Linked DNA regions of Xenopus tropicalis. The protein of the gene in region 1 binds, or shares a complex with, the protein of each later gene. Links are inferred from orthologs where the notes say so. Each region holds a gene or a part of one and is shown in the gene's direction. Other genes may lie near its edges.

Region 1 (2,736 bases):
GGCCATGCATTTGACATCCATTTTTTTTTTTTTTTTTTTAAAGCAATTTCTCACATCCAAAATTACTAAAATGGTTATCCAAACATAGCTGTGTTATGTACATTCTCTACATCAGTGAACCCCAACCAGTGACTCAGGAGCAACATTTTGCTCCCCAACCCCTTGGATGTTGCTCTCAGTGCCCCCAAACCAGGTAGCTATTTTTGAATTCCTGACTTGGGGCAAGTTTTGGTTGAATAAAAACAAGATTTACTACCAAATAAAGCCTCCTGTAAGCCAATGTGCATAGAGGCTGCCTAATAGCCAATCGTAGCCCTTATTTGGCACCTCCATGAACTTTTATGATGCTTGTGTTGCTCCCCAAGTCTTTTTACATTTGACTGGGGCTCAGGAGTAAGAAAGGTTGGGGACTTCTGCTCTACATGTAACCATCCACCAATGACACTATTTAATGGGACAGCCACCCAGTTAGGTTCCATATTCCAAGTAGTTTTGGTGAAAGACTGAAGGCTCTCACAATGCAGCAGCCCTTTAGATGTTGTAAGACTACTACCTTTGGCCATTCCTGCATTATATGAAATATTGGAGGAACTATGGGGTGGTATCTGTTGCATCAAAGGTTAATGGTAATAGTTAAGTTGCAATCCTTTCCTACATGTACCAGTTTTTATAAAAATGTGTGACATTTTTGAAAAATTGTTTCAAAGCTTCCACTCTACAGCCTGGCACTTACAGACCCCAAAATATACCTTGTGTGCACTAATTTCATGGCTTACATTTACCTAATTCATAAACACACAGGGAGTTTTGTGTGTGGTGAAAGAGGCAAAAATGTAGGGTGACCCCTGAAAACCATATATTTTTGAAAGTACACATTCAGACAAATCCAACATGGGTAAAGATGCCTTTCTACACCAAAATACCAATCGGCAAAGCTTTCCTAAAGTTAGCGTTTTCTATGTAATTTCTGAAAATCACCTAAAGTCACCTAATATGGCAATTTGTCATATTTATCTCCCACAATTTTTTACATACAATGATAAATCATCCTAAATCTGAATGCCAGAGGTCTGCTGAACATTTTGATGCCCAATATGCATAGATTTACCTAAGTATGTGGTTATGTACCAAATGAAAGTAACACATGCAAATTTTCTAGCCTCCCAACTCAGTTTTTGCAAACAGAGCCCAGACTGCATGTTATATGCAGTAAAACCCCCTAGCTGCACAGAGACCCCCAGAAAAACCATATATTTTTGAAAAGTACACATTTTGACAAATCAGAAACAGCTGAAAACGTCCTTGTACACCAAACGGCAAAGCTACACTAAAAGAAATGCAACAAACAACAATGCAAGTGTAAAACTGCAATAAAATCACAAACATGAAATACAATTAGGCAAGTCAATGAAATAACAAAATTAATTATTTTACAGCGTGGTTAGTGGTCAGAATACTTTATTCAATGGTCACACTGGTTTCCCCTAATTTTTAAGGTAAAAACAAAAGACAAAATGATAAAATAAGGAACTAAAAAAGAGCAAAAAAAGTGTTTGTGTCTGTTTCTGTATACTTGTGTGTACACCTCGAAAAAGTGTGTAAAAATGTACAAATGCAAAAAGACAGAAATGCAAAAAAAAAAAACACATTTAGTAAAAGGCGGTTTGTATGTGTTTAAATGTATGTATGTGTGTGTTAAAATGGGTATATCTAGGTTAAAAAAAGGCCACGTACCTTTTTTGCGAGTCCTTGGCTGCACAGAGGGTCCCAGGACCGCAGATTCTCTGCAGCAGTTAGTGTGTGGGCAGGCTCAGAGGGGCTGCAGCAGGAAGCTCCAATAGCAGACACGAGTGTGAAGGAAAGGCAAAGTCACTTGGGGGTGCCAAAATGTTAGGCACCCCCAAGTGACTTTAATCGCCTACCTTTTACCCCGGGCTGGTGCCCCTGTTCAGAGAGAACAGCACCAGCCCAGGGTAGCTGCAGCGCTTCCTCCTTCCTGTATCGCTCGCGCGCATGTGCAGTAGGGTGAATAGTGGAACTTTAACAGAGAAGTCGGCTTTTCACTCTACTGCACATGTGCCTATATGTGATACGTGCTTGCCAGATAAAGCCTTTTCTGAAAAGCACGTATCACATACGTGCTTGACAGTAAAAGTGTCATTGTGGGTATGATCTTATGATAACATGGGTGTGGTTTGAAGGACTAAACTAAATTATGTTTGGCTTAAGTTTTATTTATTGCACATATGTTGAACAAGGGGCAGCATGTTGAAGAAAAAGATGGCAACTATAGTGCACATGTGAGGATAGCTGTGAATATTTAAAAGCAGTATTATGACTCCCACATTTTTCACTTTTTTCCCTTGTCCCTCAAGGCCGATTAAGTAAAGCGCATCAGGAATCCAAAGAGGAGCAACATAAAGACAGAAGCCCAGATAAAGAGCAACAAAGAAAAGATGGTGAGAAACACAGTGAGTCAAGCAGGAATAGTGACTTAAATAACAGAGAAAAGAGACATCGACAAAGGAGTCCAGATCGAGAGAAAGAAAAGAAGAAGATAAGGCCAGAGCCACAGGGGTAAAAAATCGAATTAGATGGCTATTAATAATAAGACTTTGCCTTGGGGGATGCTGTGTATTGATATTTTTTTGCTTCTCTTTCTCAGCTGGCTACATCGGGACTTAAGGGTTCGCTTTATTGACAAAAATTATAAAGGGGGAAAGTACTACAACTCTA
Region 2 (3,500 bases), on another chromosome or scaffold:
GTAATCTATTTCACAACCCCTTATGCACTTTGTTTTAATAAATGTTATGCATTGTAGAAAGACATTTCACATTATTAAAAGAAGTGGAATCCCACTCTTAACGTCATGGGCGGCCGTATATGGCACTCAAACCATAGCTTAAGAACCCTTGCTTTATAGTGACACATTAACCTATGCTAAACTATGTGGGGATACAATAACAGGTGGCTAGTTTGCTCCAGTCCTGTGAAGCCAAAGCAAGAAATCAGTTGCAGGGGCATGCTGGTTTGTAAAGCTTCCTATTACTATTGTTTAATTATGCCTAGAACTACACATGTTAAAAAAGCTACTTATGGTGCAAAGCTAAAACAAAAAAAAGCATTTATTTATGAAAGTGAAAACATGGCAACTACAATTCTGTCCAGTTGCTGGCTGCTGAATAATTCTTTTTACTGACACTGCTAGATTATACTAGATTATACCTCATATCTGTATGCTTAAGCACAGCTTTTCGTTGTTTTCTTTTGTTAATTAAACCTGTTTGATAGATATGCAGTACAATAGGACCCATGTGGAATATTTCATTAATGGAAGACCTAGATGGAGCATTGAGTTCATGTTATCACATGACCATACCCATATTAATGGTGGTAGTACAGCAAAAACCTGCCATACTCTGCCTTCCCTACCCTGCCTGTGTGTGCCATACTCTGCCTGCCCTATGCTGCCTGTGTGTGCCATACTCTGCCTGCCCTATGCTGCCTGTGTGTGCCATACTCTGCCTGCCCTATGCTGCCTGTGTGTGCCATACTCTGCCTGCCCTATGCTGCCTGTGTGTGCCATACTCTGCCTGCCCTACCCTGCCTGTGTGTGCCATACTCAGCCTGCCCTACCCTGCCTGTGTGTGCCATACTCAGCCTGCCCTACCCTGTGTGTGTGTGTGCCATACTCAGCCTGCCCTACCCTGCCTGTGTGTGCCATACTCAGCCTGCCCTACCCTGCCTGTGTGTGCCATATTCTGCCTGCCCTATGCTGCCTGTGTGTGCCATACTCTGTCTGCCCTACCCTGCCTGTGTGAGCCATACTCTGCCTGCTCTATGCTGCCTGTGGGTGTCATACTCTGCCTGCCTTACCCTGCCTGTGTGTGCCATACTCTGCATGTCCTACCCTGCCTGTGTGTGCCATACTCTGCCTGCCCTACCCTGCCTGTGTGTGCCATACTCGGCCTGCCCTACCCTGCCTGTGTGTGCCATTCTCGGCCTGCCCTACCCTGCCTGTGTGAGCCATACTCAGCCTGCCCTACCCTGCCTGTGTGTGCCATACTCTGCCTGCCCTATGCTGCCTGTGTGCTGGCACTGCTCCTACAGTCTGCACAATAACTATATATTTAAAAACTTTTTAATTGCAGTACCACCTCAGTATATGTTTTTTGTAGTGTGCAGGGTTTATTTGTGGGTTTCTACTGCTCCTACAGTCTGAGGTGTGAACAGGTGAACAATGTGGGTGATTACAGCCTGAGCCTGAGGTTTGAACACTGCAGGGGGTGAACAATGCAGGGATTAAAAGGTGTGAACAACACAGGGGATTACATTTTTAAACAATACAGGTGGTTTTCAGCCTGAATCTGAGGTGAGAACCATGCAGGGGGCCAGTTAATCTCAGTACTGATACCATTTAAAGTTTACACAAAGGTAAATCATCAAAGCAGCCAGACAGGTGGGGCGCCACACAGAGGAGTATCGCCAGTTGGACAGCACTGTTTTATATAGTTCTCTATTGTTTTTTCATTGTACTTCTTTTTTCTTATTTCTTTCTCTTCTTCAGGTTATTTCTTTATCATCCAGCATTGTCTCTACCAATAAAAATTCCCTAAGATACTTTCTTTCCTCCCTCCAAATGTTACTAAATATATTCTGCCTAGAATAAAATTTTCTTTTATTGTGCAAAAAACAGGTTTTCTGTGCTACATTTTTATTTTAACACACTACACTTTTTCTCCTTTTAGCATTTTCATTCTTTTAAGCTATCCTTTTGTTCCCCTTCTCTGGGGGGGGGGGGGGCAATGACACTAGGAAATGAAATTACTATAATTATAAGTAGCCAATATGCTTTTTTTTACATGCAAAGACTATAAATTAATATTTTACAAGGTCAAGCTAATTTTGGTGTTAATTGTCTGCCCACAAAAAGACTGATCCATACTATGGTGTAGCTCATCCATTTCCTATAGACCAGAATGGTGTCTGCAGTGGGGAATATCATATTGACTGTCAACTGGTTTATGCGGTGTTTAAAACGTGTTGTCCTTTTCTTTTAGGTTATTATGATAACACAATATTTCACAGAGTTGTTCCTGACTTTATTATTCAAGGGGGAGATCCTACAGGTACTGGAACAGGAGGTGAATCTGTTTATGGTAAACCTTTTAGGGTAAGAAATATTTATGTATAAATCAACTTCTCCGTTTCCCCAGCTACAGACTATGATTTTAGATAAGGAGCAGCTCATTATACAGAGACTTTTCAGTGTACTATTGGTTTATATGGTTTTTCTCTTTGGGATCAGGAAATAGAATGTGATATTTCTTAATTAAAAGAATAGGGGGAAAGTATGTTTAGCCCAAACACTATTCACAGTGTAAAAAAAATATGGTACACTCTGGCTTTAAGGAATTCGTTGCTTTAAGAAGTTTTCTCAGTCTTTTGCTTTGCATTCTTTCTGCATTAAAAATGATAGTTTTTCAACTGGAATCAATCAATAACAATATTGATTAAATCCACTATAACAGAGTGATTTTTCAGGGTAATTAGCAGATCCATTGCAATAATTAAGGATTGATCAGAACTGGTCATTTTATAATGATCATTAGTACTTGTGGCCACTGATTTGTGTTTGAGTCTATATCAGGGGTGGGCACACTTTTTGGCTCTCGGGCCACATTTACTCACCCCCGGGCCCGACCGGGCCAGGGCGGGCCCCCTTCTCTGTTTAATTCCGGCACGCCAATGACACCAAGTCTCGCGTGATGAGACTTGGCGTCGGCGGCGGGCCGGATTAAAAAGGCAAAGGGGCCGGATGTGGCCCGCGGGCCTTAGTTTGCCCACCCCTGGTCTATATGCTCCTTTGTTTTACATGAGCGAAAATATGTATTAATCAATAATAAATGGATTGCTGCTTTCTTTTACACCTACAATGCTTCGCTGTAAAGAGTATATTTAAACAGAAATAGGGAGCTCAGTATAAAGGAGCTCCACCTTTGCCCCGACGTGTGCCACTGTGTCTCAGGCTTACAGATAAGGAAGAGTTATATATATTTAAAAATGAAGGGTTTCTGGGAATGGTGTTTTGGCTTCCTTGAATTCCTTCTCCTTAGACAATTTCTCTGAAGAATGAGAAAGTTTATATATTAAAGTAATTGGCCAATATGGGACACTGTTTTTTGTACTCATAAGATATCATCTAAAATTTATAAAAACTTGAAAATAAAAGAGTTAAAAAAAAAAAAAGGATAAATAGAAATT
Region 3 (3,948 bases), on another chromosome or scaffold:
TTGACGCTGCTTCTTGTGGCTCCTGCTCCTTATGCGGCTCCTTCTACGGCGGCGACAGGACCTTTTATAAGGTTGCGCCCCGTGCGTACGTGTGACATCACACGTACGCATGGGCGCAACCTTATAAAAGGGCCTGTCGCCGCCGTACGAGGAGCCGAATAAGAAGCAGGAGCCACAGGACGAGACGGAGCCGGAGTGCTGGCTGCAGTCAGCGCATCCCGCTGGCCTGGATAGTTTAATGAATGTTCTGCATTTCCGTAATGCGGGACATTCATTGAACAATCCGGGACAGCGGGATGCGCTGTAAAAACCGGGACTGTCCTGCGAAAAGCGGGACAGTTGGGGGGTATGCAACCCACTTAGGGTCACAGTGTAATGCAACCCCTCTCTCACTTTTTCTTTCTTTGTAAAAAGCGCACAGATTCTGGTATAAAGGGGGACAGCTTGCATTACATTGGGAGACAAATGTGCTAAAGAGCACAGAGAAAACTATCATGGTTTTCTTTCTACCTGTGGAATCAGGTACTCCTGGGTGATATCACTCCAACTTGCAGCGCAGCAGTAAAGTGTGACTGAAGTTTATCAGTCACATGGCTGTAGCACCCTGGGATATGAAGAATATGGCTAGCCCCATGTGAACTTTTAAAATTAAATATAAAAAAAAACCTGTTGAAGTTCTATTAACCGATGCATTTTGAAAAAAAACCTTTTCTCATGACAGTATTCCTTTACCCATTCTAATTTTACCCTCCAAGTGCCACCAAGTCCTCGGAAAATCAAGGCTTCTAAATCTGGACTGTTGTGCATAATAGTGAATATAATTACATAGCGTTAACAAATAATCAAAACAAGGTACGAAATACAAATAGACGGGACGCAATGTTTGTATTTGTTGTAATTGCAGTCAGCGCAGTATAGCAACTTGCATTTATTAGAAATGCCTAATTGCGGTTCCTGGGGGAAGGCCCTGTAGTACTAGTAGTACTGAGGCGGCCCGGAGTCAGCACAGAGGGTGAGCCTTGTACAATACAACACCATTGTGAAATAATCCCGCCTCCACTGGCGATTGTTGGAGTCATGTTGGAAATCCAACTCCAGCCACTAGAGGGAGCAGTTAGCCATTCAACGCGTGTCGGCTCTCTATGGTCTTTTCTCCTGTCGCTTCCGGGCCTTGGCAGCCATTTCCCGCTTTGCTCCAGCGGTGTGTTCTACGGGACGCTCCGGGGAGGAATTTTTTTTATTGATCTGCAGTTTGTTGTGAGGCTGCGGTCGCACCATGGTAAGTACTGGAGGTGTGCGAGTTCCAGGCCTGGCGGGACAGGGGGTGTCAGTGTGTAGGGATGGGGGGGAGTGCAGGCAGCATGGTGTGTGGGGCTGTTCATTATCCCGAGTAGCAGCTTATCCCGCCGGATTTACAGAATGGGTTATGCAGTTGGTTCGGGTTTGTTTGGTTGCTTTATTGTTAGGCCTGTGTGGAAAGGCGTAACGTGTTATCTTTGCAGCGTGTGTACTCGCTAAGGGCACGTTGCACGGAAAGAGCCTGTATGTAAGGCGCGGTGTAGGCTGCGCTGAAATATAAGTAGCCATGCAGCGTGGGATGGTACTATCTCTACTGGGGATGAGCCGCGAACATGGGATGTTTGCGTCTGTTCTTAAAGCGGTGGCACATGGGAGTTGATAATTTCCTAAAGGCCATGTGTTCCTCTGCCTATCATATCTCAAGTGGTAATGCTACAAATGGCATGTTATACTGTTTGTACTGTGACTGCCCTCAGCCAGCAGTGATGTGCAGCCTTGTGGCCCTCCAGCTATTGAACTGCACTTTCAACTATCAGGAAGAATAAATAAATGCCCCTTTTTCATTTTACTGTGGTAGTGTAATAATATATAGCCTCCTACCAAAGAAAGGATGATTTCTATTAGATATGGATTTGTGGTTGTTGTTGCTGGCCGTGCCCCAAGTATCATTATTAGGCAGGTGTCCCCTTTTGGTTTCTTGGAAGGGAGCATGAGAAAACTGAGGACAAATAAAGGCAGAGATATAGTATTGAAAATGTATGCATATGATTACTTCAGGTTATTGCATGAGTTGACGTTTTAATCACAAGACCTATTGAATATTTATATTATAAATGATTATATTTTCAGAGTTTACCACTGAATCCAAAACCCTTCCTTAATGGCCTCACTGGTAAGCCAGTTATGGTAAAGCTGAAATGGGGGATGGAGTACAAAGGCTACTTGGTATCAGTGGATGGATACATGAACATGCAGGTAAGTAATAGCACTGAACATGTCAGATATTATAGTTGGTTACTTGCTGTTATAAGTTAATTTATTAGATTATTTAATAAAAAAAAATATATATTGTATGCATGTGTATATATAATTTATATTATATTCCCTTTATATTGTGCCAGAATTGTATCTGGGCTTTCCTGTTGCCATTTTAGAGCAGTGTATGAGACATTTGGATTGGATTGCCTCTGTCTCTAGTTAACACTAGGAAATTGCACAAGTAAAATGGTTTTGGGCATCAGCAGCCCATTGCTGGCAATGAAATACATTAAAGGAACAGTAACACCAAAAAATTAAAGTGTAAAAAACTAACTAAAATATAATGTGCTGCTGCCCTGCACTGGTAAAAGTTGTGTGTTTACTTCAGAAAGTCTTCTATAATTTATATAAATAAGCTGCTGTGTAGCCATGGGGGCAGCCATTCAAAGGAGAAAAGGCACAGGCACATAGCAGATAACAGATAAAACACTATTGTACTCTACAGAACTTATCTGTTATCTGCTATGTAACCTGTGCCTTTTCTCCTTTTTTCCAGCTTGAATGGCTGCCCCCGTGGCTACACAGCAGCTTATTATATAAATTATAGTAGTGTTACTGTAGCAAACACACCAATTTTACCAGTGCAGGGCAACAGTGCATTATATTTTCATTACTTTAAAGCTCTTTTATTTTTTGGTGTTACTGTTCCTTTAAGTGCTGCTTAAGGTTGCATGCAATTAGCTGGAGTGCTTGCCAGAGTGTTGTGACACTTTATAGTACCATTGCTAACCCTAGTAGCATTAGCACCAATTAGCCAGCTTAATTGCTTTTAAAACATAAGTAACAATTAATATTAATATTTCTGTATTGCAGAGTTTTTTTTTTTTATAGTAATGATGGTTGAGAAAGTAATGAGTGTCCATTATCCAAGGTTGCTGTGATGTGTGAGAAGCTTTTTCTGTTGGTTAATTCATTTATATATATTATTGCAGCTTGCAAACACAGAAGAATATATTGATGGTGCATTGTCTGGACATCTTGGAGAAGTTTTGATAAGGTAAGAATTGTGCACTGGGGATGCTTTGTAGGTGGTCACATTACAGCATATATGTCTGCTTTTCTGAAATAGAAAGCAAACTCTTGTCAGCATGTTAAGGCAACTGCATGTGCCATATAGATTGTAAGCTCTACGGGGCAGGGACCTCCATCCTCTTGTGTCTTTGACTCTTAACTTATTGCAACTGTAACTGTATCTTGTATGTATTTGTATTTATTGTTATACTTTGTATTTATCTATTATCTTATTAACCCCCTATTTGTATTAATGTATTCTACTGTACAGCGCTGTGTACATAAGTAGCGCTTTATAAATAAAAATATATATACATACATGTGAACCAGTGAAAAATGTAAAGTATATTCTGTAAAAAAAAAAAATGTACTTTTTAAATAGTTTCTTATCTAAACTGTGTAATTTAACAATTATTTAAAAAGGCAACAAATTGTCCTTTTAAATATTCTCTTTAAAGCACAACCTCCAAGGAGGCGTGAGTAGATTGCCCTTTTTTTTCTTGATAACTACCTAGTAGCAAGAATTGTATCCCTTCTCTAGAAAAACAATGTGACTGCTACCTTTTCTCTGCTAAACTGTTTAACTATTGTATTCCTTTT
Region 4 (4,115 bases), on another chromosome or scaffold:
CTACTATACCTGCTATGCCACAGCCACAGTCCCTTCCCAGAGGCTATTATCCCCCCACTGCTACTATAGGCACCATCTCTCCCTACTATACCTGCTATCCCACAGCCACAGTCCCTTCCCAGAGGCTATTATCCCACTGCTACTATAGGCACCATCTCTCCCTACTATACCTGCTATCCCACAGCCACAGTCCCTTCCCAGAGGCTATTATCCCACTGCTACTATAGGCACCATCTCTCCCTACTATACCTGCTATCCCATAGCCACAGTCCCTTCCCAGAGGCTATTATCCCCCCACTGCTACTATAGGCACCATCTCTCCCTACTATACCTGCTATCCCACAGCCCCAGTCCCTTCCCAGAGGCTATTATCCCCCACTGCTACTATAGGCACCATCTCTCCCTACTATACCTGCTATCCCACAGCCACAGTCCCTTCCCAGAGGCTATTATCCCACTGCTACTATAGGCACCATCTCTCCCTACTATACCTGCTATCCCACAGCCACAGTCCCTTCCCAGAGGCTATTATCCCACTGCTACTATAGGCACCATCTCTCCCTACTATACCTGCTATCCCATAGCCACAGTCCCTTCCCAGAGGCTATTATCCCCCCACTGCTACTATAGGCACCATCTCTCCCTACTATACCTGCTATCCCACAGCCCCAGTCCCTTCCCAGAGGCTATTATCCCCCCACTGCTACTATAGGCACCATCTCTCCCTACTATACCTGCTATCCCACAGCCCCAGTCCCTTCCCAGAGGCTATTATCCCAGTTGATATTATTAATCCTTTTCTGACACCTACACAAATACACCTCATGTCATGTTACTAAACTCCCTCCTGCTTTCCATGTAGAATCACCTGAGAATCCCAAAGCCCTGGTTAGTGCCCGGACAGGGCCATTACAGGCATCATATTAAAATAAACAAGTGCTGCCCATCACGGACAGACGGGCCCCGGTTAGAGTTACCTGCTCCAGGCGTAATTGTGCGAGCACCTCAGGTGTCACACGCAAAAATGTGTCCTTAGCACTTGTGAGTTTCAGGGACACAGCAGCCCCGGGCGGTCCCGGACCTAGCATCCTACTGTGGCGTACCCACAGCAACCCCCTTCACTCCAGCGCTGTGTATGACGAACGTGCAAGTAACAGAACTTCCATCGCTAACGTTATCAGCTCCTTCATGCCTACTGGGTAACTTCCGCGCTGTTTCACCTTTGACAATCGAGGAAATCCCACTCACCCTGTGTCTGCTGACGTATAGTACCTCCCGCCCAATCAGAGAATGGCGTGCTCTAATGACGCCTGTGTGCGGGGCAGTCCTTCCGCCTATTGGTTCTGCTGCCTTTCCGCCTATTGGTTCTGTGTCCCGGCCTGTGTTTGGTACAGGGAGAGAGGGAACTATTTCTTAGACAGCAGAAGCCGATGGCAGAAAGCGCAGCAGTGCAAGTGCAGGCCTACGCACACCATGAGCAGCGAAAGATATGCGCCTCACGGGCCAAGTACCGCGAAGGACGGAGGCCCAGAGCAGTCAAAGTGCGTGAAACATTTACAGTTTTTGTTTTGGTTTTTATACGTCCACACAACTAGTATTCCAGCGTATTCTTGCGGTGGGACTGAGCGCCAGTGCCGCTCTAGCAGGTTTCCCTTCGTAGAAATTGCTCCCTAGAGTTATCACTGAGTTACAGCTTCCATAAGAATGTTAGCTCTTCTATATTCATGTGGTTTTAATTGGGCACTGTGTGGGAACTGGTAATGATTTCTGTTTCTACATAGGAGCATATTGTTCCACTGAAGGAAAAAATGCTGCCTTTTTATCTGCACCCACTGATAGGGGAATAGTGTGGGAGAGGGATTAGAGTTCTAGTTCACCATTTGGAGGCAGTAGGTTTCATTATAAACTATGGGCTATTTCCCATGATTGTAATTATAGATGTCACAGACCCAGTGGCTGCAACTGATAAGGCTAAATATATGTTTATGAATAAAAAGATAATTTTGTGGTTGGGCCCAGTGGTCTCTAGTTACACCAGCAGTCATGTATACTGCAAGCCAGTGGGGTACCACAACAATTTCAATTTAGGGCCCAAAAAATATTTGTATGTTAACCTATTCTACCAAGATACATTGACATTTCTCATCAATTAGGGTCTTATTGGGCCACTTCCATTCCTGGGCCACTTCCATTCCTGGGCCACTTCCATTCCTGGGCCCCCTTCCAACTGCAGGGTCTGCCCTAGCACACACTCCAGTTTCCCTTTCCTTGCCCTGTAACATTACATCATTTCACTCTGCACACATTCTCATACAACCAGCACACTTAACATGTCTGCATATAAAAAAAACACACACAAACTGATACTATTTTCTTTTAATTTCATAAAGAAGAGTATAATGCACTCAGTTACTGGGTTCACGTTAAACTGAGGGGTATATTTAAAAAAAAAAAAAAAGTTTAAATTTGACGCTTACCAAGATTGACTTGTAAGGGTCTGTTTTAAGCTTTCCATATCATGTGACAAATGTAAGATGCTGATGTGCATTTAAATTTTAAATGTTTGAGAAATAAAAAAAATTATATTTTGACCAAAAACTGAAAATGTGCCTCATCTCAGTTTTGTGCCTGTAGCCCTCGGCTATTGCACCCAGTCAGATTTATTCATATAATGCCAGAGATTCTCAGCTGGATTGAGGTCAGGCCTGTGACAGAGCCATTTGATCACTGGGATCACTGTTCTACTGAAAGATTAATGTTTATTTTTTAGCAGCCTGGAACAGGCTTTTTTTTGGTGATATTTCACTGTATTTTGCCCCATGCCTTGAAAACAATATTCCCAGTTGCTGCGTTAATTATATAACACACAAATCTGTGGTACTAATGAAGAATCAGGCTTTTGCGCAGAGAAATCTTTAGTTTAGGACTTTAAAAACTGTTGATTCCTTGCTGAATACTTGGACAGATAACCATTTGCTTTATACAGTATGGCAAACATGGCATATACAAACAGTTGTATCACTCTGGCTTGATTAAGCCATTTTACAGATGATGCAAATAGAAAAACTTTAACGTATGTTCAAGCCAAAGAAAAGTATCCAGTGCTTTCTAGCAAGTTACTGGCTTTCCTTCAAAAGCGATACCAGTAAAATTATATAGCCATCCTCCCGCCAAGAGAGCTATATCACTGGGCTTTAAACTATTATATAAGCAGAAATGAGTTGCTGGAAAGCTGCACACCATAAGAGCAAGTTAATACCTGGGTGCCAGTGCTGAAAGCGTAGATACACAGGGTTGGAATGACAGCACACGCAGGATGTTTTTCAAGAAGAATCACAGAGGTTTAGATAAATAAATGTGAGGCTTTATTCAGTCCGACGTTTCAGTTCCTATCTGGAACTTTCATCAGGGACAGTAACATCACAGTGCAGTACAAACCTTTTTAAGCACAAAAGGGCCCTAAACCTCTGTGATTCTTCTTGAAAAACATCCTGCGTGTGCTGTCATTCCAACCCTGTCTATTATATAAGCAGATAGTCTATACTTCTTCCACCAAGGGACACAACAAATGGCTTCTGAAATTTTCTCAATTACAAATGTCTCAAGGCCTTACAGTATGCAAATAAATGTCTTCCAATGGGATCATATAAAGAAATGCATCTAAAATTCTTTTTATTGAGCCTACTACTCGCCAAAAGTCAGTCCCAAATAGGACTCTCTGGAGGCAGATTTATTTAATTGTTTCTGGACATGTCCTCATAGTAAAAAGTTTTGGGTATCAATAACTTGTTATGCCATTGATAACTTGCTAGACTATGTTCCTATGTTACCAAAATGGATTATGTTCCTATGTTACCAAAATTGACAATGTTTGGTATCCCTACCAAATACTAGACTTATTGGGGGAGTAGAAAAGTACTGTTTATCATATCTGCAGCTGCTCGTAAATATATGCTACAAGTGTGGATAGAGAAACAACCCCGTCACTGTCTTTTTTTAAAAGTAAATTTTATATATTCACCTATTATTTCACCTGTTTCACATGGATTGGCTAGAAGTCTCCCTCCAAAAAGAAAAACACACGAGATGAAGAAAGAAACAAATGGCAATCAGTT
Region 5 (4,201 bases), on another chromosome or scaffold:
CGAAATGTTTGTAATCATTGCGAAAAATATGACTTTTGCATAAAAATTTATGCAAAACCCGAATAAGTCGCGTAATTGTACCGATATTTTCGTGGTCATTACAAAAAGTTCTAAACTTTACAACAATACAAATTTTTTTGCAATCGTGGTCATCGTGCTTCGATAAATGTGCCCCTATGGGGCTGATTCATCAAAGCATGAGTTCAAATCTCGAAATGGGTATAATTCAGATTAGATACAATAATTTCTCATGATCGGAAATGTCACGAAAATGCTTACGAAAAAATCGTATTAGTCACGATAATATTGTATCGGCGATCCGAAAGTGACTAAATTTTCATATCCGAATGATTGTAAATGGCTTTGATCCTTCTGTGCATGATTTTGGAAGCCTCTCATAGGACTCAATGGCACTCTGCAGCTCCAACCTGGCCCAAGGAAAGCCTCCCATAGGGCTCAATGGCACTCTGCAGCTCCAACCTGGCCTAAGGAAAGCCTCCCATAGGGCTCAATGGCACTCTGCAGCTCCAACCTGGCCCAAGGAAAGTCTCCCATAGGGCTCAATGGCACTCTGCAGCTCCAACCTGGCCCAAGGAAAGTCTCCCATAGGGCTCAATGGCACTCTGCAGCTCCAACCCGGCCCAAGGAAAGTCTCCCATAGGGCTCAATGGCACTCTGCAGCTCCAACCCGGCCCAAGGAAAGTCTCCCATAGGGCTCAATGGCACTCTGCAGCTCCAACCCGGCCCAAGGAAAGTCTCCCATAGGGCTTAATGGCACTCTGCAGCTCCAACCTGGCCCAAGGAAAGTCATGATACCGAAGCTTGAATGAATCCGAAACTTTCGTACTCGTTACGACAAATACGATTTTGTGGCACAAATTGTTGCAAAGTACGAAAAAGTCGCAAAAAATACGCGCAGTACAAAAACTATTCGGAAGCAATCGTACTTTGATAAATGTACCCGTGTGTGTTTCACATCATGTTACAGAAGCCCTAAAAAAAAAGTGTGTATGATGTGGAAAGTGTCCGTTCCTTGGTGACAGGCTGCCGTCAGTAATCAGACTACTATTTAGCAGGGCCCTCACCCCAGGGAATTTCCTGCACCAAGTAAAATAGAAACTCAACAAAGAATGGACATGAAAATACTGCAGTTACCACTTATTTTTTAACAATGGGTATTGGAAAGAGCTTTCTCTTATTAAACAAAAAATATTTAGCGGTTTAAAGTCCCTTTAATTTTAAATACACTGGTACCTAGGAAGAAGGGCCTATTTGTGTAAATGATTAAATGTAAAGGACTGCAATATAGCTACACCGCTTATTACAGCCAACGCTGCTATTTTAGCTTCTCCTTGCGACTCTTAGTCCCGTTTGTCCTGTCTCGGCTCCCGTACATATCACTGTGCGCTGGCTAGAATAGAGAATGCTGGGAAACCGGAAGTGTATTATGTCGTGCAGTGTGAGCGGTATTGTAAATAGAACACTGTGCGTTTAATCCAATAAGCGGGATTGTTCTTTATGTAATTTGATTTGGGTGGCGGTGACCAACAAGCGGTTGTTTATTCTAAGTCTTTACATTTTCCGATCTCCCCGAGAAGCTTTGGAGGGGGCAGCTTGGTATCATGAAGAGTAGCGTGGCCCAAGTCAAAGTAAGTTTTCTGCTTACATTTACCTTATGGTTACAGAGTGGCTTTATCCTGGACTTTCAGCTTGAGATCCTATAGCGAATGGAAAATTACAACTTGCAGTAACCTCTAACGCTGAGGATCAAGGGAGCTATAGTTCAGCAACTTATGTGGGGCACTCAGCCCAATGCCTTGAGGGTCATAACATTTGAGTTCGGGATATTTAGTCCAAACTATGCCGGAACTAAATTCCCAGAGGATCATTATCTTCCTTATGACAGGGAACTGGTTGACGTCTCTACAGTTAATAAAGGTGGAAAAATTGTATAAAAAAAAAGACAGAGGGGGGGGGGGTCAAAGCTCCATGTTTTTTTTCTGCCCACAGTGCCCCATGCCATTAATGTATTATTTACTTATATAGCACAGGCATTCCTCTGCGCTTGACATATAATGCAGTATTCACATTAGTCACTGCCCCAGAGAAGCTTACAATCTAAGGTCCCTATCAATTCATGCCTAATAATTTTATCGAGACCCCGTTAACCTGCTGTATGTTCTTGGAGTGTGGGAGGGAACCAAACTACCCATGCATAAACGGGGAAACATTTTATTTATTACCCAAGTAAGTCCCTTTACAGAGCACTTACTCCCCAGGGTTTCTTCTCTCTGCATAAATCTAGCGCTTGCAGAGCGGGTCCTGATGCAGGCAGTGCCTCCTGACACACCATACATTATGCCTCTGATTGACATTAAAGGAGAATGCAAGTCAAAATTTAAAAAGCATACTGCCCAGTAGTCCTATTGTTTAGTAAAAACGCCACACTTTTGGCTCACCTAATCAAATATTTACTTGGTTACACTTACTCATATTTTCTAGAACAGGCAGCCATCCCTATTTCCCCTTCCTTTCCCTCCTTGCATCATACTGCACATGTGTTTCATTCCCTCCCCCCCCCCGGCAGATCCACTTCTGATTGGCTGGTGGGCATGTGTAGCTCAGAACAGGAGACAGGATCAAGTTACACACATGCTCAGAGAATAGGAAGGCTGCCGCTGGCACCTACAGGAAGGGGAGAGAGATTTTAGTGATGTCACTATAGTCTTCACACTGCTGTAGGCTGCCGAATCCCAAAATACTGGCATCCCTAGTAAAGGCTAAATGACTCTGAAACCACAGAAAATCAACAATGTGTATCACTTTCATTGTATACTTCATCTTGGGAGTTAATTTAAGGGCCTTTAAGTCAGAGCAGGATGTTCTATGTGACTTGCCAGCTTTTGTTGAGTTACACCTGCCAGCAGCAGCAGCAGATTCTGGTTTCAAAAACTGCTGGGCCTTGTGTTAGAGATTATTTATTATGAGTTTGTTTACACAGGGAAGTTTGTCATACAACAGCAGCCTGCAGCTTTTACAAGAGGCACCAGGCAAGCACAGTATTCAAATGTAATACTAAGCAACGTTCCAATATACATTCATTAAAATGTGTCAGTGATGTTACTGTTTTTATGTAAATGTATTTGCTATTAAAATCAGTAACTGTTTGGCTGGTGCATCCTATTCACTCCTGGCTCTGACTCCCAAAACAATGTTGCAAGCCACCTGATTTACAGAACTGAAGGAGACCTGACAAATTGTTATAAGAGTCAGAAAACAGAAAGAGGTAAAAAACTTGCTTCTTGCTTCCTTTCCAAATAACGTTTTAATGATAAAACCCATGAAAATGATACATTTATGCTTCAATGTTGCCTGTTATTGCATTTTCTTAGTGCAAAAAATGATACTTTTTGGCTGGAGATAACTCTGGTCAGGTTATCTGCCATTTTCTGGAATAAAAATGGCAAATACATCGGTCACAAACAGATATATGTATTTAGAATCTTGACGTAATATAAAATATACAGGTATTGAAGAGCAGGGCCACTATTGGAGAGTGTAGGGATTCTGTAGATGAAGACCCGAGATAGAAAGAAGCAATCTATAGCTCACAAAAAGAGTAGAAGTTTATAACTAGTTGGCAGGCTTTGGGACAGACTAGTGGCTTGGCTGTGCATGTGAAGGGATTCTCTTCTACTCCCTGAGCAATAGACAGAAGGGCAGACACAAGTTATATGCACAGAGATACCCCTTGAATTTGGTGGTTGCAGCAGAACAACATCTGATGTACAGGTATGGGACCCTTTTATCCAGAATGCTCAGGATCTGGGGTTTTCTTGATAAAGGATATTTCTGTAATTTGGATCTCCATACCCTTAAAGGGGAAGTAAGCCTTTTATCTTAAAAGCCCCTAAAATGACTTTGTCTGTTGCAGACTCTGTATCACAAACAGCTCAACCTCAGCTCTCTCAGATACTTCCTAATCTTAGGTTGAGCTTCTTGTGATACAGAATCTGCATCGGACTGAGTGCAGAAAGAAAGGGATGTTATACTGGGGCTGTATAGAGTCTTATTTAGAGAGAGAGGGGGAAAAAAAAGGTTTACTTATTTTTTGTATGCTAATAATCATTTAAATGTTAAATAAACGCAATAGGATTGTTTTGCCTCCAATAAGGGGTAATTATATCTTAGGTGGAATCAA
Region 6 (2,219 bases), about 15 Mb from region 1:
TGAGAGCTCAAGGGCCATGGAAGAAAACCGTGGCTCTCACAAAAAGAGTAACAGCAAAGGTGATTCCCATGATAAGTACAAAGAACAGCACAAGGAAAAAGAGGAACGCAAAGAGCGAGAACAACAAATGCCAAGAGATAAGTACAGAGAGCAGCAAGAGCAAAGATCAAAAGACAAGACAGAAAGAGGCAGAAGGTAGCAGAAGAGTATGCTTTATGGGGACAATAAGAGGTGGAACGTCTGTGCAGTGTTTAAGCCCAAGTTGTTATTAAATACATACTAAGGACCCTTGGTGTACAGTGTATGGAATGATGCATGGGAGAAGGATTTTAAGAAGTAAAAGGCAATTGTGATGTACTGGCCACTTTGAAATGGCAGGAGCTGAACCTTGCTATAATTGTTTGTCTGTCAAAAAACTAAATTAGAAATACAACTGCTGAGCAGTGATAAAAAATATTTGAAAAACTGGTAGACAAAGTAAAGTGACATCAGTTCATGAGGTATTAAAATAGAGTAATCTGGCGTAATATAGTAGAGCTTTACCTGCAGAATGAGATTTTCCATCTTTAAAATCACCAAGATCAAATGTATTTTTTTTACTTTTTAACAATACAAGTTTTATTGAACAGATTATAATAGATTTAGTTCACAAGCAGAATTAAAATATAGTATAGCTGGTACATCAAGGCATATGCAAATAGTACACACATTTTACAAAACTGGAGCAATGGCCTGTTGTGACTGCACAAATAGCAGTGTGTATCATTTAGGGCATTACATACAGTCATTGTATATGAAGAGGAAAGAAAAAACAGTATAATAAGGGTTACATTATATGCACCCATGCTGCCAGAGGGGGTGATCACTATTGTAGCCTTTAGAAGTGAATCAGCACTGGAATGACAAGTTATTGGCATCAGTGTAAAGCAGTGCCCTGCAGAAGCATTAACTTAAATCATGTTAATTTCAGTGTACACCTAAGGGGTCGTACAGTATTCCAAATTTGTCGGGCATCCCAGCATAAATAACTTTGTGCAGCGCAAACACCATATTGATGTGCTTTTTTCCAATGGGCTTTCTGCTTTTCAGTGTATTACAATGATGAGTATTGCTACTAGTTTTCTCACGGCTCCTGGTAGGGGCTAGTGGATCTGGCTGTATCAGCACATTATTTATGACCATCTAACTGGTATTATCAAACTTCCGAACCTTTGTATCCTGTGACAGGACCAAATGACATTTTAGGGCATTTACCAGAGATACATTCTTTGTAGACATTTACATTCTTATTTGTCTTTAGCTCTGACCAGATATTAATATTGGGAGTCTACAATATCAGGGCAACCTAAACTTAATGCATTTAATATTATTTGGTCCACAGATGGAGTTCTGGAACAGAAAAAATTCAGAGCATTATGCCAGACCTACACTACTTCTTGTATTAGTGGGGTTGGTTTGGAACCTCTGTATAGAAGGTTTTTAAGCTCTTCATATGTACCTATAATACAGACTCCTAGGGGGTGATTTATCACTTTGAGTTTTTTTCACCCCTTTGAGGGGGAAGCCCACCACCAGGCTACTGGCCACTGGATAATATAAAAAGCTATTGGATGCCACTAACCCACCACTCTCTTGTCAAATGTATGTTTATTAGATTTATTTGGTGGTCATAATGTTTTTGTTTTTTTTTTGACAAATAAAGCAAGATTTGTGTATTCATTTCCGCTATTACATGAATGTATTTAACTAGCTGTATTATTCCATCAAAATAAAATTGCACATCCATGATAGCCCAGTTTTCTTTATGTATTCATAGAAAGGAATAGACCACAAAGCAAAAGATGAGAAGAATTTTGTTCGTCCAATTGCAGCATACACTATATACAGTTCAGTTTGGACATAAATTAGAACCCATCCTGAAAGCTTGTGTACATTCGCCTTTAAATAAAGTATGTAGGGTGGTTGCCCACAACTTTAGCCCATATGCTTTGTCTGTTATTTAAATGATAATAAAAAGGCAGTTTGGCATTTTATTGCCAATAGATTAACCACAATAGTGCAAGCTAGAATGCTGTATTTATTCTGCAAAATGCTTTGCCATACCTGAGTAAACGGTCATAGAAGCTCTCTCCGTTTATTTAAAATAGAAGCTGCCATTTTAGACTGATGTCCCATTGAGAGATTTATCCACAATAGATCTTTGCTACAAGGGGCAAGTA
Region 7 (4,099 bases), on another chromosome or scaffold:
TTAAAGCTTACACAAAGGTAAGCCATCAAAGCAGCCAGACAGGTGAGGGGCCACACAGAGGGGGGTTGCGGGCCGCCAGTTGGACAGCACTGGTCTATGGCATCTTAAAGTAGCCCCTTTGCCAAACCCACAGATTGCCAGTAAGGGCCTGGTGTAATTAACCCAATTAAGATTTGGAACAAGAGCCACAGGGCCAGGGGACCTTTCTGGCACTAAAAACAGGGGTCAGGGGTGCTGACACCTATTCCAGCTCTTATAATAGGGTACCAGGAACTTATTCCAGCAGCCTGAACCTAAGTGAAGCATGTATTTAGGCAACCAGGATAACACATCTGTTCTGGCCCTAAGAAAAGGAACCAAACAATGCCAGGCACCTATTTAGGCAGGGCTGAAGCCAAAGGTAGGTGAGTTAGCCAAAAATGTTATTTATAAAGGCTAGAGTGAACAGATGTTAAACATAAGAGCCAGAACACTACTTTTCAATCTGATCTGCGTGCTCACAAACTAACTGAGGTTAGACAGCTGAAAGCAGGAAGTAGTATTCTGGCTATTGATAGACATCTGTCCACTCCAACCTTTATAATTACTGTACATTTTTGCCTAACTCTATTACAAATATTTTTTTTATTTTGAGCAGTCTATTTGACCCAGTTTCATTTTTACACTGAACTGTGCCTTTAATCCCATATTATGGAAACCATTTAGAGAGGATAAAACAAATAATGTCATGTGTCAGAACAGGTACCAAAAGAGTGGCAGGAACTAGTTCTGACAGTCAGTACTGGGCTTGAGAATGCCAAAAAGCATTTGCCACCTATTTTAGCGCATTTCTTGAGTCAGAATAGGTAAAGAAAACACTAATATTCATATTGCTCCTTATCAGCTTTGAGGTTGGTGCCCCAAACGCCCTATTTTTAACATTTATCTTCTCCGCCACATCGCTTACTATTCTACATCACCTATTGCTCTCTTCAACACTTTCTCACTCCGCGCCAGATCTTCTCCGTCCCCTCCCTTTTCCATGTTGCCCCTGACAGCTTTAAAATGCTCCTTTTCTCTTTGAAATCCTTTACAGAAACGACATATTAATGTAATTAATTATAATGAATTTGCGAAACGTGGAGCAAACAAAAGCATATCTACAACTAGTTCTACTTTAATGCCAATCACTTTAACCATAGCATCCTCGTCTCCAGTATTAGGAACACAGATATTTCGAATTAGACGCTTCCGCGTTTTTTTACTTCCGGTACCCGAGCCCTACCAATAGACGGACCGGAAGTTATAATTGGACGCTAAGTCTGGAAAAAGTGTTCAGTATTGAAACAGAACGGGGCTTCAGTAACAGATAAACAAAATGGGGAAGCGTCAGCATCAAAAAGATAAAATGTAAGTTGCGAGCCTTAAATGCGACTTATACGTAAAATGGCGGCGTATTGTTGTTGTACTGTTTGTGCATGCTCTGTGTAACCTGTGTCTGTGGATCTACACTCGCCCAATAATGCACACATAGCATATTCCAGAGTTACAACCTCTCATCTTCTTGTTTAAGGGAATGCTGTGTGTGAGGGGGAGGGCATGTATCTGTTAGAAGAAGGCTTTCACTTATTGCATACAGTGGGGACCTTTATTTAGGATAGACTGGGAAGCATTTATATCAAGGTCCTGTGTAAGCAGAAATGGAGGTTGTAGGTGGCACATAAATGCCACTTTGCTGCCCCCACAAAGACTATACACCATTAAGTATCACTATATTGTTCACAAATGCTTTCACGGTTTCTGAAGTTTAAAATGACCAAGGCTGTTTACAGGACATGTGTTATGCTACCCTAAAATAAATAAAACAATTTTTAAAGATGACTAACCAATTGTTAAGAAAAATCCCATGGCACGAAAAACCCGAGTACCATGCCATACTGAGCGTGGCGGGTCCCATTTGTTACATACCCCCCAGTAATAATAATCACTGACATCAGCCCTCAGACTGGTTCTTCTCTTTGTCAAAAAATACATTGGCATAGGTTACTGTTCTAGTGAGCATCCTCCTTTTTTGTTTTTTTGATACATTCAAGCTGTACATGTTAGTTTTTGGGCATGCTAATTTTATCCAGCCTATGATTACATGCTGCATAAGCATAAACACGTCTGGCTTTGTACATGGGGTTTGTTTTAATGGATTGTAATAAAGTTGATAATTTTTAACTTTTTTTGATAGTTACAGACTTAATTGTTAAATTGTAATTTTTCCCTCTTTTGGTCACTAGAGGGTTGATTCTGCACGTTTGACTATTTTTTCTTTCTAGTTTTTTTTTACTATGTATCCTATTTTGGCCATTTGAAATGTTTACATGCTAATTTTATACCATCTTTTTCCCTTAATCCTGTGTGGTTACTAAATCTGTTTATTTGTTAATTATTTTACCAGGTACATCACTTGTACAGAATACACAAACTTCTATGGAGGAAAGAGACCAGGTAAGACCAACTACATACATAGGTTGTATGTATATTTAAATTTTGATTTTTCACAAGTTTTTCCATTGAGTGTGGTACTATGCTTTTCTATTTAACATATTTACCAGCACTCTGGCTACTTGCCTGGGTAGTTTAGGGAGTGCTCCTCTATGGTTCTAAAGGGTTTCAATAGTATAAAAAAGACCAGCAACTCCGGGATTTCTTTTGAAAAATCAAAACAAATCATAACATATATATCATAGTAATGTAATCTCCTAATGAATAAAAATTGCCTGGTGTAGTTATCAAAATGTAAACAACAAATGGACACAGCACTCACTGGACTTGGAAGAAAACAAATTCATTTATTTATTATGTTTGCCCTGTGCTACAGTGCTCAGCCAATTAAATGGTAATTTATGGGGGTGCAGCTACAATAATAATATTTTTAAGCAAGGGGACACAGTTCTCCAGAGAACTATGGCTTATAACCACAATAGTATGTGGCGCATCCCCAGGGATGCAGTTCTCCTTACTGAGACTTAGCTGAGCAGGACCATGTGGGGGTGCCAACTTCAAGATTAATGTGAAAGGATTGTAGTAGTTTTTACTTCCCGTCTTCATGGCCCACTTTGTAGTTTGCACACAGAAACATTTATAAAGTGGGAACAAATATATACAGCGACCCGGTGGGGACAGTCTTATATACTGGGATGAAACTACAAAGACGGATGGCTTGAGCAGCCGCACTCAAAAGCTCCTGTATGCTGGGGGTGGGGAAAAAAAAGTGGCGGGATGTCATCCCACTCCATTCCACCTCGAGGTCTACCAGAAACTTTAAAGTGATCTACTGGTAGACCGTGATCTACCTTTTGGGCACCTCTGCCTTAGACCCTGAGATGTGTAACCAGTATCTAATATAGTTATGTGCACTTGTTGCCCCCCTCTAAGTATAAATCATGGGCTCCTAATTATCACTTTGAACCCGCAGTCACCCCTATAATTGCTAATCCAGAGCATTCTGGATAGCAGGTCCCATACCTGTATAGGCAAAGGGAGCACACATCAGTGATGTATTAGATCTGACTCCAGCTCCTGCATAAAAAGAGACAGATTGCTAAGAGGGGGTTACTGAAGAAAAACCTAATTATTTCCACAATGGTACCAAATTTTTAATCGATTATATTCTGAAAGTTTTAGCGATACATCGCCTTGATGTAGCAGCCATCTCTCCTGACTATAATGTTGTTGTTTACTTAAAACTGCTTCTAAAGGTGGCCATACACCTTGGGCAATGGGGCAATATCGGGGTAATTTAGGCTTATTCGGTCGTTTGGCCCTGGGGGCAAATGATCGAATTATAACGGCTGGAATAGGCGCAGTCAGTTCGTGGACCGCATCAACGTGCCGATGCGGTCCCCGGTCCGACTGAATTTTTTAATCTGCCCGATCGATATCTGGCCGATTAAGATTGTCTTGCATGACATTATTGGTACATTGAACACTTGATACAGATTTTCTGCCTAATTTCAGTTAACAGGTGTTTTTATTTCTGCAAGAGTTTTTTTTTTTTCTATATATGAAACTGGAGTCCAGCATATTTCTTTCTTGCATTTTATTAACAGATTATAGGATCTATTTTCCA

Evidence for each region.
Region 2: gpkow (region 1) and cwc27 share a complex: the UniProt entries of both Homo sapiens proteins name them as parts of the minor spliceosome. The link is inferred for Xenopus tropicalis from reciprocal best matches to the Homo sapiens genes GPKOW and CWC27.
Region 3: gpkow (region 1) and snrpf share a complex: the UniProt entries of both Homo sapiens proteins name them as parts of the minor spliceosome. The link is inferred for Xenopus tropicalis from reciprocal best matches to the Homo sapiens genes GPKOW and SNRPF.
Region 4: gpkow (region 1) and rbm48 share a complex: the UniProt entries of both Homo sapiens proteins name them as parts of the minor spliceosome. The link is inferred for Xenopus tropicalis from reciprocal best matches to the Homo sapiens genes GPKOW and RBM48.
Region 5: gpkow (region 1) and cwc22 share a complex: the UniProt entries of both Homo sapiens proteins name them as parts of the minor spliceosome. The link is inferred for Xenopus tropicalis from reciprocal best matches to the Homo sapiens genes GPKOW and CWC22.
Region 6: gpkow (region 1) and rbmx2 share a complex: the UniProt entries of both Homo sapiens proteins name them as parts of the minor spliceosome. The link is inferred for Xenopus tropicalis from reciprocal best matches to the Homo sapiens genes GPKOW and RBMX2.
Region 7: gpkow (region 1) and ppil2 share a complex: the UniProt entries of both Homo sapiens proteins name them as parts of the minor spliceosome. The link is inferred for Xenopus tropicalis from reciprocal best matches to the Homo sapiens genes GPKOW and PPIL2.

The regions. Positions count from the first base shown.
Region 1 is NC_030684.2:24,001,980-24,004,715, forward strand, and holds part of gpkow (G-patch domain and KOW motifs-containing protein), read left to right. Parts: intron 1-2,375; coding exon 2,376-2,577; intron 2,578-2,665; coding exon 2,666-2,736. UniProt on the Homo sapiens protein: RNA-binding protein involved in pre-mRNA splicing. As a component of the minor spliceosome, involved in the splicing of U12-type introns in pre-mRNAs.
Region 2 is NC_030677.2:188,222,693-188,226,192, reverse strand, and holds part of cwc27 (spliceosome-associated protein CWC27 homolog), read left to right. Parts: intron 1-2,296; coding exon 2,297-2,409; intron 2,410-3,500. UniProt on the Homo sapiens protein: As part of the spliceosome, plays a role in pre-mRNA splicing. Probable inactive PPIase with no peptidyl-prolyl cis-trans isomerase activity. As a component of the minor spliceosome, involved in the splicing of U12-type introns in pre-mRNAs.
Region 3 is NC_030679.2:57,034,801-57,038,748, forward strand, and holds the start of snrpf (small nuclear ribonucleoprotein F), read left to right. Parts: upstream 1-1,148; 5' UTR 1,149-1,276; coding exon 1,277-1,279; intron 1,280-2,148; coding exon 2,149-2,274; intron 2,275-3,269; coding exon 3,270-3,334; intron 3,335-3,948. UniProt on the Homo sapiens protein: Plays a role in pre-mRNA splicing as a core component of the spliceosomal U1, U2, U4 and U5 small nuclear ribonucleoproteins (snRNPs), the building blocks of the spliceosome.
Region 4 is NC_030682.2:31,762,945-31,767,059, reverse strand, and holds the start of rbm48 (RNA-binding protein 48), read left to right. Parts: upstream 1-1,315; 5' UTR 1,316-1,430; coding exon 1,431-1,541; intron 1,542-4,115. Other genes in the region: pex1 (peroxisome biogenesis factor 1), read right to left, coding at 978-1,088. UniProt on the Homo sapiens protein: As a component of the minor spliceosome, involved in the splicing of U12-type introns in pre-mRNAs.
Region 5 is NC_030685.2:63,083,823-63,088,023, forward strand, and holds the start of cwc22 (pre-mRNA-splicing factor CWC22 homolog), read left to right. Parts: upstream 1-1,401; 5' UTR 1,402-1,622; coding exon 1,623-1,649; intron 1,650-4,201. UniProt on the Homo sapiens protein: Required for pre-mRNA splicing as component of the spliceosome. As a component of the minor spliceosome, involved in the splicing of U12-type introns in pre-mRNAs. Promotes exon-junction complex (EJC) assembly.
Region 6 is NC_030684.2:38,932,791-38,935,009, reverse strand, and holds the end of rbmx2 (RNA-binding motif protein, X-linked 2), read left to right. Parts: coding exon 1-199; 3' UTR 200-1,719; downstream 1,720-2,219. UniProt on the Homo sapiens protein: Involved in pre-mRNA splicing as component of the activated spliceosome. As a component of the minor spliceosome, involved in the splicing of U12-type introns in pre-mRNAs.
Region 7 is NC_030677.2:154,149,600-154,153,698, reverse strand, and holds the start of ppil2 (peptidyl-prolyl cis-trans isomerase-like 2), read left to right. Parts: upstream 1-1,299; 5' UTR 1,300-1,357; coding exon 1,358-1,389; intron 1,390-2,425; coding exon 2,426-2,475; intron 2,476-4,099. UniProt on the Homo sapiens protein: Has a ubiquitin-protein ligase activity acting as an E3 ubiquitin protein ligase or as an ubiquitin-ubiquitin ligase promoting elongation of ubiquitin chains on substrates.